Linked DNA regions of Saccharomyces cerevisiae S288C. Changing the gene in region 1 together with any one later gene gives a genetic interaction. Each region holds a gene or a part of one and is shown on either strand. Other genes may lie near its edges. The genes, in order: MNN9 and SED1.

The links.
Region 2: mutations in MNN9 (region 1) and SED1 are lethal when combined (synthetic lethality), as found in Saccharomyces cerevisiae (one study listed by BioGRID).

What each region holds. Positions count from the first base shown.
Region 1 is NC_001148.4:459,976-463,836, reverse strand, and holds MNN9 (mannosyltransferase complex subunit MNN9), read left to right. Parts: upstream 1-1,870; coding exon 1,871-3,058; downstream 3,059-3,861. Other genes in the region: DIG1 (Dig1p), read left to right, coding at 1-1,356; Arf family GTPase ARL3, read right to left, coding at 3,278-3,861. UniProt on the Saccharomyces cerevisiae protein: The M-Pol I and M-Pol II complexes possess alpha-1,6-mannosyltransferase activity and are probably involved in the elongation of the mannan backbone of N-linked glycans on cell wall and periplasmic proteins.
Region 2 is NC_001136.10:598,757-602,309, forward strand, and holds SED1 (Sed1p), read left to right. Parts: upstream 1-2,036; coding exon 2,037-3,053; downstream 3,054-3,553. Other genes in the region: putative DNA-dependent ATPase RAD55, read left to right, coding at 1-932; SHU2 (Shu2p), read right to left, coding at 3,442-3,553. UniProt on the Saccharomyces cerevisiae protein: Component of the cell wall. Major cell wall protein in stationary phase cells. Required to stabilize the cell wall in the absence of multiple GPI-anchored mannoproteins.

The DNA.
Region 1 (3,861 bases):
GCCGTATCAGCCCGTTTGAGAACGACTGCCGAGGATACATCCATTGCTAAATCAACACAAGATCCAATTGGTGATACAGAAATCAGTGTAGCAAATGCTAAGGGCAGCAGCGATAGCAACATTAAGAATTCGCCAGGCGGAAACAGCGTTGGTCAGGAGTCGGAGCTAGAGCATGTCCCTGAGGAGGATGACTCTGGTGACAAGGAAGCAGATCATGAGGATTCTGAGACAGCCACTGCGAAGAAGAGGAAAGCCCAACCATTGAAGAATCCGAAGAAATCATTGAAGAGGGGCAGAGTCCCGGCGCCTTTGAATTTATCGGATAGCAACACTAATACACACGGTGGTAATATTAAGGACGGCAACTTGGCTTCGTCTAACTCTGCACATTTTCCTCCTGTTGCTAATCAAAACGTGAAAAGCGCGCCCGCACAAGTTACTCAGCATTCCAAGTTCCAGCCCCGTGTCCAATACTTGGGAAAGGCCAGTTCTAGACAATCTATACAAGTGAATAATAGCAGCAATAGTTATGGGAAACCACACATGCCCTCGGCGGGCATCATGAGCGCCATGAACCCTTACATGCCCATGAATCGCTACATAATGTCACCATATTATAATCCGTACGGTATCCCTCCACCTCACATGCTGAACAAGCCCATAATGACACCCTACGTGTCGTATCCATATCCAATGGGACCGCGGACCTCCATTCCTTATGCTATGCAAGGTGGCAACGCTAGGCCCTACGAAGAAAATGAGTATAGTGCTAGCAATTACAGAAACAAGAGGGTTAACGACTCATATGATTCGCCTTTGAGTGGCACCGCTTCCACTGGGAAAACCAGACGATCCGAGGAAGGCTCAAGAAATTCTAGCGTAGGATCAAGTGCGAATGCCGGTCCTACGCAACAGCGCGCGGATCTACGCCCAGCAGATATGATACCTGCTGAAGAATACCACTTTGAACGGGATGCATTACTCTCGGCCAACACGAAAGCCAGAAGCGCAAGCACAAGCACAAGTACAAGCACAAGCACAAACCGGGACAGGAGTTCATGGCATGAGGCAGAACCCAATAAAGACGAAGAAGAGGGTACGGACTTGGCCATCGAGGACGGAGCGGTCCCCACTCCCACTTTTACTACGTTCCAGCGGACCTCGCAGCCGCAGCAGCAATCACCTAGTCTTCTTCAAGGCGAAATCCGACTCTCATCGCATATTTTTGCCTTCGAGTTCCCCCTGAGCTCTAGCAATGTAGACAAGAAAATGTTTATGAGCATATGTAATAAAGTATGGAATGAATCAAAGGAGCTGACAAAAAAATCATCATCACATCACAGAACCGGAAAATAGTAGCCACACAGGCACTTATAAACTTACATACACTCGCATACACTCACCTACTCACACACGCACTCACACACACACTCTCACTCGCACACCAAGGACAATTCAGTACATACACAATTTTTATATAAGTTTGATAAACTAAAAGATGAGGGTGAGTATTCACCTTATTAATAGTTACAGCCTTTATCGTCACTAGACACGACAGCATTGGTTTGTCTTTTTTTTTTTTTTTTTTTTTTCCTTTCCATCGTTGTAGCGGATTTGGCGTTGAAGTATTTTGATATAAGTAAAACAGAACACCAAATCAAGAATAATAAAGGAGGAAAAGTCGTCAACCAAGCGGATTCTCAATTGGTAGAAAAGCTTTTATTATTTTCTGTTAGCCGCTCTTGGGACCCGTTATTTCTGAACCTATTTTTCCTTCCGCACTTTGTGAAAGTAAGAAGAGAATAGCATCAATTTTAGTATTTTTCAAACAGAAGAATTTAAAAGAGCTAGAATAAAAAGTTAGGAAACAATGTCACTTTCTCTTGTATCGTACCGCCTAAGAAAGAACCCGTGGGTTAACATTTTTCTACCTGTTTTGGCCATATTTCTAATATATATAATTTTTTTCCAGAGAGATCAATCTCTGTTGGGACTTAATGGCCAGTCCATTTCCCAACACAAATGGGCACACGAAAAGGAAAACACATTTTATTTTCCCTTCACCAAGAAATACAAAATGCCAAAGTACTCTTATAAGAAAAAAAGCGGCTGGTTGTTCAACGATCACGTGGAAGATATTATCCCAGAAGGTCATATTGCACATTATGATTTGAACAAATTGCACTCTACGTCAGAAGCAGCTGTCAATAAGGAGCATATTTTGATATTGACTCCAATGCAAACATTTCATCAACAATACTGGGACAATTTGCTGCAGCTAAATTACCCTCGGGAATTGATTGAATTGGGGTTCATTACACCAAGAACAGCCACTGGTGACTTGGCCTTAAAGAAATTGGAGAATGCTATTAAAAAGGTTCAAACGGACAAGAAAACTCAAAGATTTAGTAAAATTACTATTTTGCGACAGAATTCCCAGAGTTTTGATAAGTTGATGGAGAAGGAAAGACACGCTTTAGATGTTCAAAAGGAAAGACGTGCAGCAATGGCTTTGGCGCGCAATGAATTACTATTCTCCACCATAGGACCTCACACTTCTTGGGTGCTGTGGCTAGATGCCGATATTATAGAGACACCACCATCTTTAATTCAAGACATGACCAAACACAACAAAGCTATCTTAGCTGCAAACATTTATCAAAGATTTTACGATGAAGAGAAGAAGCAACCATCAATCAGACCATACGATTTCAACAACTGGCAAGAAAGTGACACCGGTTTAGAAATAGCCTCTCAGATGGGTGATGACGAGATTATTGTCGAGGGTTATGCAGAAATTGCCACTTATAGGCCATTAATGGCTCATTTCTACGATGCTAATGGCGTACCAGGTGAAGAGATGGCGCTGGATGGTGTTGGTGGAGGCTGTACTTTGGTCAAAGCAGAAGTTCACAGAGACGGTGCCATGTTCCCTAATTTCCCATTTTATCACTTGATTGAAACAGAAGGTTTTGCTAAGATGGCGAAGAGATTAAACTACGATGTATTTGGCTTACCAAACTATTTGGTTTATCACATAGAGGAAGAGAACCATTGAGCAACTGAGCAAAAAGCATACAGAAGCTATAGCGTTATTGAAAGATAATATTGTTGCGATTATTAGTTGAAAATAAACAAAACAAGATATATATTCATATATATATATATATAATTTACACATGTATATTAAAAAATGCCGAATAAAAAGTGCTACAACAACTAATTTCTGAGCTTGAGAATAAACCATTCACATTTTATTTCTTTTGGTGCTTCTTTATCATTTATAAATCGGTGGTCTTGACTTTTTATTCCTTTCTAGTCTAACAATCATCCATTCTATAGCGTCTTTAACACCTTCTCCAGTCAATGCGCTTATTGGTAAAACCCTACTATCTCTAGCGCTTATATGTTCCGCAATCTTATTAAATACTTCTTTTATATCTTGTACTTCCATTCTATCTTGTCTATCTTGTTTATTGGCCAGCATCAAGATGGGTACACCTTCAATTTCTTCATCCATTACAACTGACTGTAGGGTCGTGGAACATTCGTCTAATCGTTCTCTATCTGAACTATCCACAATGAAAATTATACCATGACATAGGGAATAGTATTCGGACCACATTGATCTCAGTGATTCTTGACCACCTACATCCCAAAACTTCAAGATCTGTTTACTGTCAACGGGTATTGTCGCCACATTTTGTCCTACCGTAGGCTGTATCTTTTCCAAGGCTTTGAACGCCAGAGAGTATTCCTTTTTCAATGTCTCCAAGAACGTCGTTTTGCCTGCATTGTCTAGACCTAATATTAGAATTGAATATTGTTCCTTTTTATTCCAATTATTGTAAAGTCCCTTGA
Region 2 (3,553 bases), on another chromosome or scaffold:
TCGTGGAAGAAAATGTGAAGCGGGTCCGAATAACGAAATTTGGACAGCTATTATATTTCTTCCAGAATTTGTTCAAATTATCTCAAAGTGTGCGATATAAACTAGTTATAATTGATGGATTTTCTCAATTAGTCTGCGATCATCTGTGTACACTAAGTAAAAGAGGCGGCGGAATGATAGATAAAACTATACACGAGTTAAAATGTCGACATTTGATATTAATTTTTACGGTAATGACCAAATACACACATTCCACGGGTTCGACAATAATAGTTTTAAATGACTGTATGAACACCGCCTTCCAATCAAACGAATTCGAATCCTTGGAAGAATACTACGAAATTTTAGACGACGGATCTAACTTCTTTGTCAACTCTAACAACGAAAGGCGTAAGAACAATGTACATATATTGAAAAGCGCGCTCGTTGCCAATATCGCTATGGGAAGCAAGGATTCCACTTGGGAAGTATTTCTAAGAGACAGGATCGGCCTTTTTAGGGATTGGAATGAACAAGTGGACGAAACCGTTTTCGTGAAAAGCAAAAGAGTGAAGGCGTCATCCTCGCAGAGTAACGAGGGATGTACTACCATCAAAGAAATGAGAATAAACAAACGAAACTTTGAAAACTTGAGAATAGCTATTGTTTTTAATTTACACGGCGAAGATAGAAAAAGAGAAGGACGAAATTTAAAGCGGTCAAGAAGCAGCGACGATCGTAACTATATTGTCAAATTTGATTTTGATAAAGCAACAGGTCAACTCCGCGATATAATTGATCTGAAACCTGATACTGCTAATATTGCCTCATTTCCAACATTATCAACAAGCAGCAGCAGTTGCTCACAAGTGTTTAACAATATTGACTCCAATGATAATCCATTACCAAATGCGGAGGGAAAGGAGGAGATAATTTATGATAGTGAAGGTTAATAGTAAAATAAAAAAACCGAAAACCGAAAACAATAAAAAATGGAAAAACGACAACATTCCACCCAACAACTACAAAGAAAAGTTAAGGGTAATTTTACCTATTTAGGATTTTAATCTGTTGGAGTTAAGGTGAATACGTTTTTCCATATTGGGGTATGCAGCTCGAACCTAAAGTGGTATGTACACATCCCCTCAAGCACACCCATTACCCTTATAGGATTAATGTAAGCAACAGCTTACACGGAATTGGAAATACTATTCAACGATCCATGCATCTGCCAGATTCGGACATGCATATTCCCCAATTGGATATAGAAAATTAACGTAAGGCAGTATCTTTTCACAATGTACTTGCAACGCGGCGACTTAAAGTTGAAGTACAACCTGCAGCAGCGGCTTTTTGTACGGTACGCCAAACTGTCAATGGATAATATTGCGTAGACCGAAAAAGGTAATCCTCAACACTACCCGTGGTGGATGACCTAAAGCAGTAATATTGGTTGGAATTATCTCCCAGACGGCACCGTCTCCCCGAGAAAGCTTAGCCCCGAGGTCTACCTTCCATACACCACTGATTGCTCCACGTCATGCGGCCTTCTTTCGAGGACAAAAAGGCATATATCGCTAAAATTAGCCATCAGAACCGTTATTGTTATTATATTTTCATTACGAAAGAGGAGAGGGCCCAGCGCGCCAGAGCACACACGGTCATTGATTACTTTATTTGGCTAAAGATCCATCCCTTCTCGATGTCATCTCTTTCCATTCTTGTGTATTTTTGATTGAAAATGATTTTTTGTCCACTAATTTCTAAAAATAAGACAAAAAGCCTTTAAGCAGTTTTTCATCCATTTTACTACGGTAAAATGAATTAGTACGGTATGGCTCCCAGTCGCATTATTTTTAGATTGGCCGTAGGGGCTGGGGTAGAACTAGAGTAAGGAACATTGCTCTGCCCTCTTTTGAACTGTCATATAAATACCTGACCTATTTTATTCTCCATTATCGTATTATCTCACCTCTCTTTTTCTATTCTCTTGTAATTATTGATTTATAGTCGTAACTACAAAGACAAGCAAAATAAAATACGTTCGCTCTATTAAGATGAAATTATCAACTGTCCTATTATCTGCCGGTTTAGCCTCGACTACTTTGGCCCAATTTTCCAACAGTACATCTGCTTCTTCCACCGATGTCACTTCCTCCTCTTCCATCTCCACTTCCTCTGGCTCAGTAACTATCACATCTTCTGAAGCTCCAGAATCCGACAACGGTACCAGCACAGCTGCACCAACTGAAACCTCAACAGAGGCTCCAACCACTGCTATCCCAACTAACGGTACCTCTACTGAAGCTCCAACCACTGCTATCCCAACTAACGGTACCTCTACTGAAGCTCCAACTGATACTACTACTGAAGCTCCAACCACCGCTCTTCCAACTAACGGTACTTCTACTGAAGCTCCAACTGATACTACTACTGAAGCTCCAACCACCGGTCTTCCAACCAACGGTACCACTTCAGCTTTCCCACCAACTACATCTTTGCCACCAAGCAACACTACCACCACTCCTCCTTACAACCCATCTACTGACTACACCACTGACTACACTGTAGTCACTGAATATACTACTTACTGTCCAGAACCAACCACTTTCACCACAAACGGTAAGACTTACACCGTCACTGAACCAACCACATTGACTATCACTGACTGTCCATGCACCATTGAAAAGCCAACAACCACATCAACCACCGAATACACTGTAGTCACTGAGTACACTACTTACTGTCCAGAACCAACCACTTTCACCACAAACGGTAAGACTTACACCGTCACTGAACCAACCACTTTGACTATCACTGACTGTCCATGTACTATTGAAAAGAGCGAAGCCCCTGAGTCTTCTGTCCCAGTTACCGAATCTAAGGGCACTACCACCAAAGAAACAGGTGTTACTACCAAACAAACCACAGCCAACCCAAGTCTAACCGTCTCCACAGTCGTCCCAGTTTCATCCTCTGCTTCTTCTCATTCCGTTGTCATCAACAGTAACGGTGCTAACGTCGTCGTTCCAGGTGCTTTAGGTTTGGCTGGTGTTGCTATGTTATTCTTATAAACGGTGGTGTTTGACACATCCGCCTTCTTAATGCTTTCTTTCAGTATTATGTTATTTTTTTGTTATTCGTTTTTCACTTCTAGGCTTTTTGACAGACTAGCCCCGTTATACCACCATCTTTGTGGGAAAGCCCCTAAATTGCCCTGAGCAGTATCGTTTCATGTCTAGTCTCTTTAAAGATGTTTCTTACGCGTTGCGTGTAAAACATCCTCTCATTCAAGACAGGGTTTTCTAAAAGCAATAGGGGTAGTTTAATAATTCTTATATAATCATCATATACACTATTTTTAGTTCTTAATTCTTTAATACAAACTTATTAATGTGCTCTCCATTGATCTCTTAATCAGGAGGCGATATATACCGGAAGCGGTGTACTTTTCTTCACCTCTTACTCAACTATGTTGATGTGCAAGTTTAACCACTCGTCGATATTATCTATTGCTATAACGAAAACTTTATTCGAGTTCACAGTGAAAAACTTCAGCACATTTATGGAAGAT